2 linked regions of the Callithrix jacchus genome follow. The protein of the gene in region 1 purifies or fractionates together with the protein of each later gene. This does not show direct contact. Links are inferred from orthologs where the notes say so. Each region holds a gene or a part of one and is shown on either strand. Other genes may lie near its edges.

Region 1 (5,923 bases):
CCATAAGACTAAGCAATTTTCCCCAAGGTCATATGCAAAGTTAGTGATCAGATTAAACTAAACTCTAGGACTTTGTACTCTTCATCATTTCTAATCAAATAAACTGTTAGATCAAAATATGCTACAATTAGCTCTCCCTAAATGCTGTTCTCTGTACATGGGCTGTTCCAATATGGCAGCCCCTAGCCACATGTGGCTATTAATCATTTGAAATGCAGCTAGTCCAAGTGGAGGTATGCCATAACTGTAAAATTATGGATTTTGAAGTATAAAAGGAATAATATAAAACGTGTCAATTATTTTACACAAATTAGATGTTGCAATGGTATTTTGGATATAATGGATTAAGTTAAATTCATTGGACAGCACTGGTCTGTACTTCTTTCCAAAGACCTCCCATGGAATAGATGTCATCATGAGATCTAAATGCAAAAGCAATTATTTTCTTGGAATTTGCTTATTCTACATACATTATGTAACACAATGTAGTAACCATACCTAAAGGATGATAAGTTTTTAAAGAGATACAGGCATATATGTAAGTAACAAATACACAAAATAGAGCACCATAGTGCTCTCCAAGTATAAAAAAGGATGCTTCTATCTCATTACAAGTGTACGTGATTTTGAGTAAGTCACAGTGTGGACAATGTAGGACTTTCCATTAGAGTCATATGTTATCTCCTTAGATGGAAAAGTGAAAATATTCCTACTCCTAATGTACACACAAGGATTTCAAAGTCACTGGAGGACAACCATAAGGCACTATGAATTTCTAAAAAACAAAAAAACAAACAAACAAAAAAACCTGGCTGATGTCAATATATACTTATTTTTTAAAAGTCACACATCACAGTATTTGTCTAATACAGACTCGGCACTTAATCTGATTTTGACTAAAGTGCTGACAGACATGCGGTAAGAGGAAACATCAATTTAAAAAATAAGGTTAACTCCAGAAAGCCTAGCAATTCCATAAAAGGTTGAACGTAAGTTTCCAAATGATCTAGCAATTCTATACCTAGGTATATAGCCAAGAGAAATAAAACATACGTCCATACAAAAATGTTCTTAGCAGTATCATGTAAAATAGCTAAAAAAAAAAAAAGTGGAAACAATGAAAATGTCCATTAACTGATGAATGGATAAGTAAAATGTGGTATATCCATAAGCTGGAGGATCATTCGGCCATAAGAAGAAATGAAACACTGATACATTCTTGTTACAACATGGATACAGCTTGAAAACATTACACTATCTGAAAGAACCAGTTACAAAAAAGTACAAATTGTACAATCCCATTTATATAGAATGTCCAGGATAAGCAAGTCTAAAAAGACAGAAACTGGTTGCCTTGGGCTGGGGTAGTTGGGAATTGGAGACAGACTGTTAATGAGCACAGGTTTCTTTTTGGGGTGGTGATAATGTTCTAAGATTGATTGTGGTGATGGTTGCAAAACTATATGAATAAACTAAAAAGCCACGTTAGGTGGGTGAATTGTATCATATGCGAATTACATCTCAATGAAGCTGCTAGAAAAATGAAGCCAGAAATGTAGAGGAAAAAAGGGTTATAGGGATCTGCCAAGCACCTAATTGCTATTTTTCTGGATTCTGTAATTTTGTGGTACTTAGCAGTTTTTAAGTTTCATCATTTGTGATTTTTTCTCATTCTAAGTAAATACGCATATTAATAGAAAACATTTTCACCACATTCTTTCGTAACCAAGTAAATTTACTGAAAATCACTGTTATTTAAGAAGCTAATTTTTATGGTATGTGAATTATCTCAAGAAAGAAGTTATACTTTTGCATTAAAAAAAAAAGGGATCACAACGATAATGTTAACCTTAAAAGAATCACAGAATTAGCAGCCCTGGACACTTAGAAGTCCCTCAAATTATGAAATCCACTAAAACAGCATAAACTACTTTCAAGATAATATTAACAGGTGTCTGAAAAGCCCAAAAAATATTTTAGTCAAGCAAATGCTCATGTTGAGAAACATGCCATGGGAAGTTAAAGATTTCACTACGAAAATGTACCGAGGAACGGCAAAAAAAATACTGCTTGACCACTTTCCCTAAAAGCTAAACTCGTGATTAAGATGCAGAAAGGAAGTAGTTTTTTAAAAAAATCTATTTACCTAAACTCTTAAAAGCTGAAGGGAAGAAGTCTTCTATCAAAAATTTCAGTGGGGTGTGTGGGTATGCTTGTGTGCATGTGTGTTTAACCCATACACTTTACGTAGACTGAGAATCTCGGGAGCAGCTGTATCTAAGACAATGAAGCGTTTTTTTTTTTTTTTCTTTTTAAATAATCAAACGTGATGGTGCCATTCCTTAGCCCACCCCATCCCCCACTACCACCACCAGCAGGTGGAGGGAAAGGATACTGTAGACTAGAGGATGACAGCTTTGTATAACCCTTTGGACTTTATATGTAAGAATGCAGCTGGTGGTCTCCTCTCAGGAGGGGGTAAAGAGATTTGTGGACAAGCTGAAATAAGGGGTATCCTTTGCCTGGAAGAGGGCACACCGTGAGCCACATCTTGAATCAGCTATATCCAGAGTAAAACACAGGCCGCTGGAAGGCACTGTAAGCATCACCAGGATGGCCTCTCACGCCGGGGGTGTTTTTTTCAACGGAGAAGTTGACTCCTGCAGTTTGGATATTGGGGGGAGGCAGGGGTAAAGCGGGAGTCGGGAAGACCAGAAAAAATGCCTTTAAGTGGAGACGCCTCGGGCCTCGCTGAGGAAGTTCAGAGCCCCACTCGGTAGCCACACGCTCACCCTCCCACCCCACCGCCCTCCTTCCCGCGGCGCCAGACGTCGGTGCCCTAGCGAGAGCAGGAATCTCCGCCGCTGCAGGGAGGGGGCCGCGGCCCGGCTGAAGCAGCGCCGGCCGCACACGCAAGCCACCTCCGCACGCGCCGCGCCGCGCCCGGCCTCCCCGCCGCGCGGCGCGGCCCGGCCCCTCGCACCCGCTTCGGGCCGGCTCCGCCGGGCAGGCCTAGGCCGCGTCGGCCGTACCCGGGCACCTCGCTTCCAGGCAGAGGCGTAGCAGGCCCAACATAAACTTCCCGGCGCGTTAGGAGAGGCGTCACGGACGGGCCGGCCCCCAGCGCCATTCCCCGAGGCCCGGAGGCGGCTCCCGCCCCTACTCCCCACACGCGGGGTCCCGGCGGGGACCGGCCCCAGGCCCACGGCCCCCACCCCTCCGGCGTCGTCCCCGAGTTTACCTCCAAGTCGCGGCCTTTGTTCTTGAAATTCTTGAGCCGTTGGTTGTCCAGTTTCTCGTTGTCCGCCATGGCCGGGCCGGTGACTCCTTCCCCCGCCCGGGCCCCGCGGGATCCGCCCCAACCACCGCGCCGCACCGACACTCCCAGGAACCGGGCCGCCGCCTGAACTGCTGTGCCCGCCGCGCCGCCGCTTCCTTCCTCCTCTCACCTGCCTCCGCCGCGGCCTTCTCCTCTCCCCGCCCGCCCCCCCGCCCTAACCCCAGCGCGACTGCAGCTCCGGCAAAGACAACTGTGGGGCCGGGCGGCGGCAACGGCGGCGGAATGTGCTGCCGGCTGAGAGGGGGAGGAAGCCTCGCTCTGAGGGCCCCGGCGCTGCGGCCACGCCCATTGCCTCCAGCCCAGCTCTCCCATTGGCCAACCAGGCTTCGGTGCGTTCGGCCAATCAGAAGGGGCGATGGAGAGCCGAGGCGGAAAGAGCAAACAGAAAGGGGAAGCGAACGAAGCTAGGAGGAGCCGGCTACCGGCCTGGAGGGGTGCGGCGGGGGCAGGCCGGGAAGGACCACGTGCCTTCGGAGAGGCGGGGAGGAAGCGACGGAGAAGTAGACTTTAGGGGAAGCCGGCAAAAGGAAGGAGAGGCCCGGGAACGCGGCAGGGCGAGTTGTTTTGATCCACGTGGCCGGGCAGCCCTAGATGCCAGGGATCCAGGGTCGACGCCGCGTTAAAGTAACGTTCTTTTCTCCCTGGGCGTGCCCTGTCTTCCTGGGCATTCCTTGCTCTCTTCGTTCGCTTTGCAGAGGTAGATCTGAGCTTCGCTCTCTCTTCAGTCGGACACTCGCAGCTCCGTTCCCGGGCAGGGGCTCCCTGCCGTCCTGGGCGGGTATCGGGGCCGGGACCTGCTGGGATGACTCGAGTTGAGGAGGCTCAGCGGAAAGCTACACGGACGGTGGCTGGAAAAGGAGAGGGGCCCATTAGACGAATCTGATTCATCTTCTCTGACTAAGCGCCCGCAGCAGGTAGGAATTTAGAAGAGCTGGTGATTCTGGGACAATAGCACTTCCTAGATAATTCCTCTTAGAAAGTTAAAGAAGCTGCTTGACCACAAAGTATGAACTTCTGGAGGGCGGGGCCCGTGGCAGCTGACAGGGAATATTGTGACTGTTGAAAAAGGTAATGCACTCCAAGGATACCAGGGACATCGTTAGCAGAGGCAGAAATGACATGAAATACGAAAGAACGTATTCAAAAATGTCAGAAAACAGAAATGGAAAATTATTTTAAAATATATTTAAATATCAACGAATAACACCTCAAATGTACAGAGAGAGGTAAAGAAGCTATTCAGGTTGGAAGCAAGGAATCGAGGCGTTGCGCGTGTTTAAACTTGGCGAGATAGGGAGAAGACAGCCTGATACAAACTCCTTCAGAATCTTTGACTCCCGGTCCTTTCTAGTATTAAGTAGAACAACGTGCAGAGATAAATGTTTAAAATGCAGATGTTCCTTAAGGAAACACTTTTTAAGCCTAAAGAGGGGATTTTAAAATTAAAATGGAAGAAGTCAGTGGGTTTAACACATATAAACAACTGAGTTTCCTTTGGGGGAGAGGCAATGAAAAGAGCTGGAGTACTTTAGGAATCACTTTGGAGAGGATATTGTAGTGGGGGAAAGGAAGGTAAAAACTTAGGAAGCAGAGTGGAAACTTTAAAGTCCTCAGTACTTTATATGCCATCAGCTGGGCTGTGGCAAACAAGCTGTGCCTGGAAATAACTCACACTGAAGGTTGACTTGAATATAAATTCAGTACAGATCTTAAATACAAATGACATTCCATTAGAAACTGTTACTCCTCAAAGACTCATTTAATTGAAGTAACATTGTATTTACAAACCAGAGCACTAATGTTTTTCAAAATGAGTTTAGGATAAGAACATTCTCTTGAAAAGCTGGAATGTATGTGTATTATGTTCCATCATAGATTTTATCATAAGCAGTGTTCAAGAAAACAAATTACCAGTGAATTCCCACCTTATGAATAAAAGTTATCTTGTGAACATGTCAATAGATGAATATTTTGTACTTGGAATAAATTTCATGGTAGCGTTCATGATGAAGTTTATAGAAGTATCTGTTATATGTCTTCATGTCTCCAGCTACAGGCAGAAGACTCCTAGAAAAGGGCTGTGATTAGTTACCAACTGAGAGAGATGCAATATAAATAGGAAATAACTGCAATTTATAATTTGATTTGTTTATCTAAAATCTGCATTCCTCCCTAGACAGCAAGCTCTCTGAAGTCAAGAACCATACTTGTTTTGTTCACTACTTTATACCCAACACCTCATAGTACTTGGCACATAAATACTCAGGGACTATTTGTCAAATGCAAGAGTGTATACCCCTAAAGAGGTATACATGAAGCTGGAGACATGAAGACATACAACAGGAAAATCAGAAAAAAATGCCTTTAAGTATTAGAGAAATGCCGCAGTCCTCCACTTAAATTGAAAAATAAGCTAACACCTCTTGATAAAAATGTGGATTGAGACCAAGCAGCAGCTTCTCCCCTCCTTCTGGAATGTCTGCCTTGTTCAGCCCGCCTGCCTCCACTCCTGCCTCCCTGATGTCCATTAGGGTGACCCAGAAGTCCTACAAGGTGTCCACCTCTGGCCCCTGGGTCTTCATC
Region 2 (6,135 bases), on another chromosome or scaffold:
CCCTTATTCCTCCAGGTGCTCAGGCCCCAATCTCAGGTGTCATCCTTGTTTCTTCTCTTTCTCTGTGCCTTGCATCCAATCCTTTTGTTCAATTTTGAAAATATATCTTGAATCTCACAAGTTCTCAGAGGTACACTGCTACCACTGTAGTTAAAGCCACCATCATCTCTCTCTCCTAGACTGTTCCAGGGCCTTGCAACTAGCCTTGTACCATAGTTCTGTCACATCACATCCAGTTCTCCACTCTACACCTGCAACATAGATCAGAGGATGTCAGCTCCCGGCTCAAAATCCTCTGAGGGTTTCTCACGTTAGAATACACTGTCGGTTCTGGCTGGGAGGGCAAAGCAGGCAGATCACTTGAACTCAGAAGTTTGAGACCAGTCTGGGCAACATAGTGAAACTCTATCTCTCCCCAAAATACAAAAACTTAGCCAGGTGTGGTGGTGCGCATCTGTGGTCCCAGCTACTTAGGATGCTGAGGAGGGAGGATTGCTTTGAGCTTGGGGTGGATGTTTACAATGAGCCAAGATTGCACCACTGCACTGCAGCCTGAGCAACAGAATGAGCCCCCATCTCAAAAAAAAAAAAAAAAAAAAAAAAAGAATAAACTCCCAATTCTCATAGTGGCCCCGGCTGCCTCTCCAATCACATTCCCTACCACTTTCCAGCAACATTGACCTCCTTGTTAGTCCCCAACATGCCAGGCATAGTCTCTCCTCATGGCCTTTGAACTTGCCTGGAATGTTCTTTCCCCAGATATTCATAAGGGGGAGGAAAATGAGGGTGAAAACCAGTAGCTATCTAAACAGCATTCCCTTCACTCTTACTTTCTTTCTTGAAGCCTTTATCACTATGTGAAATTACATATTAGACTTATTTGTATGCTAGTATGACTCTCCCGGCAAGAATGTTAGTCTGCTGTCTGTTCAGTACTGTGCACCCAGAACCTGGAAGAGTGCCTGGCACATAGCAGGTAGTCAATAAATGAATGGGGGCAGGCAGCCAAATCAGAACCAGGTTTTCTTGCTAAGCACAGAACTAACACAAAGATCATTGCATGGATTGGATAATGACTGGCACCAGGGTAAGGTCCCCTTAACAAACATCCCTGTCCTGAACGCCTGGTTGGCTAACACTTTTTCTATACTCTTATTTTCCCAAAACACAGTTGCTGGATCTCAACTGCAAATCAACTCTTCTAGGAAAGTGAAAAACTGCTGGATCTCAGCTCCCAAATCACATCTTCCAGGAAGACCTAAGTGCAGCTTTCTCTGCGCTCCTTATTCACACCTCCACCAAACCATCTGATCCAACAATGACAGGTGTCACGAGGCCTTGGCATGCACTCTCTTCCCCCGCCAGAGTTCTGCGAAGGCCAGGGTTGGGATTTGTCGTCAGTTTATTCCCCGCCCCTATGAGCGTAAGCACCCGGCAGGCTCAGATGAAATAATGCAACGAGTAGGCCTCTGAAACCAAGGCCCCTCAGCTGGAGCAACGTCAGGCTCCAGGGCGGACAACTTTGCTGCTTCTGCTGAAGATGGTGATATTGAGAAAATGCGGGTGCAATGCAACCCTTTTGCAGCGCACTCGATGCATCTGCGGACAGAGGGTTTGCTTGGGACGCAAACAACGTCCCAAGCCTACACCTTCACTTGCCCCAGCATCCGCAAGGGCCCATTAATCCTTAACATTCAAATTCCGCCCACTAAACCCCTCCGCGCCCAAGCCGCCTCTTTTCCCCAAACGACGGCCGAAAGCAGCCAATGAACAGCTAGAGGGGTCTGCCCTCTTTTCCCTGGCCGAAATGGACAGAAAATCTCGCCAATTGACGACATCACCGCTGAGACTCCCCGCCCCAACCCGGCCGCCCCAGCCAATGACGGGTGGGCTCGCAGCTGCGCCGGGGGCGGGGCGCGGGCGCGCAGGTGCAGCAGCGCGCGGGCCGGCCGGGAGGGCGGGGCGCGACGTCGGCCGTGCGGGGTCCCGGCGTCGGCGGCGCGCGCGCTCCCTCCTCTCGGAGAGAGGGCTGTGGTAAAAGCCGTCCGGAAAATGGCCGCCGCCGCCGCCGCGCCGAGCGGAGGAGGAGGAGGAGGCGAGGAGGAGAGACTGTGAGTGGGACCGCCGTGGCCGCGGGCGGGGACCCTTGCTGGGGGGCGGGGGACAGGGGCGGGACGTGGCGCGGGAGGGGCCCGCGGGGTCGGACGACACGGCTGGCGGATGGCGTCCCTCCTCTGTACCCTCCCCCTCCCTCCGCCGGTGGCGACTCTCCCCCTCGGCCCGTCACCCGTGCTCGCGGGTGACCGTCCTCGGCGCGGCCTCCCCGGAGCCTCCTTCGCCTGGCGCACCTCTTTCTCCCGCCCTCTGCGCGCATCCCGGCCCCCGGCCCCCGGCCCCGCGGGCGCCGCTGTCGCCGGGGCTTCGCCTGTCGGGGCTGCGCGCGCTCCTGCCCTTTTCGGGGCTTTGGGCCGCGGCGTCGTCGCGCGCCCGCGGCCCCGGTCTCTCCCTGGATCGCGCTCTCCCCTCTCCCTCCCTCGCGCGCCCCCTCTCCCGTTACTCGGCCCCCCCACCGGCGCGCGTGCGCACTTCGCCTCCCGTCGGGAGAGTGCGCCACAAGGGCTCCTGCGCTCTCACCCCCATCTCCGGGCTTTGCCTCCCCCTCCTTCTCGCCCATTCCATGAATTTCTGCCCCCACTGCGAGCGAGTCGGTCCGCCGGCTCCTTTCCCCATCTAGCAGGAACAAGTAGGTGGGGATTATTGTCCACAAAAGGGACTAGACATTGTGTTCTGGGTCCCACAACTCATCATAAAGGGGTGGTTATAGTTCCCATCAGGAGCCGTGGGTAGGGTGCTGTGCGTCCAGCAGCACCCGAGGCTCTTCGGCGCCTGAGGCTCTTAGGTGTGAGCGTGTCCTCAGGGTGCTCAGAGGTTCTTTGGGGGTGCTGTGGCCTCGGAATGTGAGCACCCTCCCATCCTACCCCCCCTTCGCCGGCGATCTTCCAGTTACATAAGTGGAGTGGGACATAGTAGGTAACGGGCTCTCATCGCCCTGGAGCGCTCCGGATCACCGGTACGAGATGGGGCAAGTTTATCGCGACGCTGTGGCTACTGTTCATTGTGCCCGAAAGGTTATTCTCTGTTGAGTTTGGTTATGACCGAATCACCCAAACTGAAACTCAGATGACTTTTGTGTGGCAGTGGCAATGTTTCTGTGGTTTTGCACTAAAGACTTAGGGTCATTATGAAGAGTTTAAAAGGATTGCTCTCGAAGGGGAGACCGTTTATGACATTGATAAGTATGGACCCCGAGGGGGAAAAAGCTCATTCTGGAATTGCTCTGTGGGGGTTGCTTCTGTTGTGAGTGTGTTCGGGTGTGGGTTGGTCACAGCAGAAATGGGCTCCACCACAAAATTGATATTCCTGACTCATGGTCAGGCAGATGTGTGCTTCTGGTTATTTTTCCAGGAACAAGAATGGGCTCTGCCGAGCCTTTCACAGGTTGTCTGTATGCTGTGTGGGATCAGTACCCCAAACTGTTGAGATAACAGGATCGAATTCAGGGCTTGGTTGGTAATCGAGGAACCAAACCTACTTGGATCTGGTATTGAGTGGCCTGAACATTGAAGGGCTCTTCTAAGTTATAGGCATTTTGTTATACTGTAAAAATGAAGTATATACGGCCTCGGTAGTATCATTGCAGTCATAGATAATTATCACTCTAGAGAATTTTGGATTCCGTGCCTGGGATGTTCATCTGTGTCTCAGCAATTTCAGTTAATAACCAGAGTCAGCTGACCTCTTGGGTCTTTTGAAATATGCTAGGTCCCTATAATAAGACAGGGTCTGGATTTTTTCATCTTTTGGGAATTTCCACCAAGGATTTAGGAAAATAGGCTTATTTATGGGCTTTTCAGGATTTCTGTTTCAAATCCCAGTCAGGAGTCTAGGAAACACTTGCTTTTATTTTCTTACCTGGATATGTCAGAACCTTAAATAACACAGTCAATCTAGAAGTAGTAAGTACGGTTATTAAAATAAGTCACCAGAGGTCACCCATTCGTGGCAGGTCAGCTAGGTGGCTGATCACTGGAATACAGTCACATCCCCAGGCAGACACACAAGCCTCACTTGATGATCACAGAGTTTGTACATCTCAGCTTGAGACATGACAAGTTAAGGTCTCTGCTTTGTTCTTCATAGTTGGCAGTTTGTCTCCCTGGTACCCCTCCAGTTAGCTGTTTGTCACACGCCTAGCCCTTTCAACAGCACAGGCAGCTTCCAGAGTATAGTTTTCTCTGCAGGGTGCCTGTTGGAGGGGTACCTCCCTTTCCATTGTCCTAACGGCTTGAAGAAAATGTCGAAGGCTTTCTTGTTAGCACTGGCCTATCAAACCTTTCTATTGCCTGTTATTAAAATTTTGCCTGGAATACTTTAGAGTACCGGGTCTTTGTTTCACCTGATTGGTAGGAGAGTATCATGCAGTCAGCCGTATTCTGACTTTTGTGCTGTTGAAATCCTGAGGTAGGTCTGGGGCCAGGCACAGACCACTGTGTGTTCAAAGAGTTAGGGTGCTTGCATTCTGTGTGTATGTGTTTGTGATTTCCAACGAGTCATTTCCCGTGCCTGCCCTGCCTCTGTGCAGTCTCATCTATCGGGGCAGGGAGGCATGCTGTGGAGTTTGGGAAAAAAAAAAAAAAAAAACTGGCTAGATGAATTTAGGATGTTGTCCCTCCAGAACATTCCTCCCATGTGGAGATGGAACGAGAAGTTCATTTCTTTAACCTTACTGGAGCCCGGTTTCCACTGCAAATGTGCCTGCTTGGAACTCTGCATGATAAATGACGTGTCCTGGAACCTGAAATCTTTTACTAAGGCTAATATCAGCAGAAATCTTTTAATTAGCTAAGAGCAGTTTGTTCTCAGAATGCCCAAGTTATCTCGGAGGAGGAGAGAATCTCCGAAAATGTTTGGTATTACTAGTAACCAGTGTTTTCAGTGTGGGGGGTAAAGCACAGTCCTAGACTGGCCAGTTCCAAAGAGTGTGGCAGGACACCTGCTTGTTTTCCTGCCCTCTGCTCTGGTGACATCCATGCAGCCCAGTCTCTCGTGGCTGGCAGACGTGATCCTTTCTGCTTGGATAGAGCATGATCACAACTGCGATGGAAGGGCCTTGTCCTCGGTGCTTCCATACTAGCCCTGGTCATTGAAACTCCTGCTGTCCCAGCAAGCCCCTGTGCGTGTGCATCATTCGGGTAGGACAAGATGTGAACAGGTCCCTTTTCTTTCGGCTTGCTTAAGTAGAAGTTATGCTCTTCTGCTTTTACCTGTTCTCTTCTGCCTTTCTCTTGCGAAAAACCTTTTCCTGTCAAAAGCTTGGTTTGCCTGCTATTGCTTAAATACTTTGGTTCCACCACTTTGATGCTATGTATGGTGTGTGGGATAACTGAGTGGGAGCCAGAATTGTGGGGTGGTCAGGGCATCCTCACTCCCACATTAGAGGGGGAATGACTGTTTCATTAGAGAATAAAGCCTGATATAACTTCTTTAAGGCATATGTATGCTGGGTCTGTTGGCGTGTGAATGTGTCCCTACTGTGGTGTCTGGCTGTTTTGCAGTTACTGTAGATACTGTAGTCTGGGCTCTCATTATTGCTCCTGAAGCTAACAGGACCAAGCCTTAGTAAGGACGCACTTGTCTTCCTTGCCTAAGAGCTAGGGGTGTTGTGTTTGTGTGTGTGTGTGTGTGTGTGTGTGTGCGCGCGCATTTTCTTTATTAGATTTCACCAACTGCTCTATTTTCTGACTCTTTTTGACATGAAATCTTAATCAATGATCTTAAACTTCGAAAACTAGAAGGATCCTTACTCTAGCACCATCAGTTTATAAACAAAGAAACAAACTTGTGTCCCTGAGAAGTTGTGACTTTTCCAGGGCCTCCTAGGCAGGATACCAGTTTGGTTTTTTTTTCTTTCTTTCTTCTTTTTTAATATAGCTAACGAAGTAATACTGTTAACTTGACTTCTGGGATTTCAAAGCATTCAATGACTTAACTGTTTAAAGGAATTATGAGTCCTCACTGAGCTTAAAACATAATTTTAGGTACTATCCTGGTAGCTATAGAGCAGCAATAGACCAG

The links.
Region 2: the proteins of KPNA4 (region 1) and MECP2 purify together in Homo sapiens (affinity purification with mass spectrometry; 3 studies listed by BioGRID and IntAct, counting the BioPlex papers as one, with this or other methods). This does not show direct contact. The link is inferred for Callithrix jacchus from reciprocal best matches to the Homo sapiens genes KPNA4 and MECP2.

What each region holds. Positions count from the first base shown.
Region 1 is NC_133518.1:24,741,235-24,747,157, reverse strand, and holds the start of KPNA4 (importin subunit alpha-3), read right to left. Parts: upstream 3,601-5,923; 5' UTR 3,311-3,600; coding exon of another isoform or gene 3,242-3,310; intron 2,661-3,241; 5' UTR 2,607-2,660; coding exon 2,523-2,606; exon of another isoform or gene 2,147-2,522; intron 1-2,146. UniProt on the Homo sapiens protein: Functions in nuclear protein import as an adapter protein for nuclear receptor KPNB1. Binds specifically and directly to substrates containing either a simple or bipartite NLS motif.
Region 2 is NC_133524.1:150,007,181-150,013,315, reverse strand, and holds the start of MECP2 (methyl-CpG-binding protein 2), read left to right. Parts: upstream 1-2,019; 5' UTR 2,020-2,052; coding exon 2,053-2,111; intron 2,112-2,582; exon of another isoform or gene 2,583-2,743; intron 2,744-6,135. UniProt on the Homo sapiens protein: Chromosomal protein that binds to methylated DNA. It can bind specifically to a single methyl-CpG pair. It is not influenced by sequences flanking the methyl-CpGs.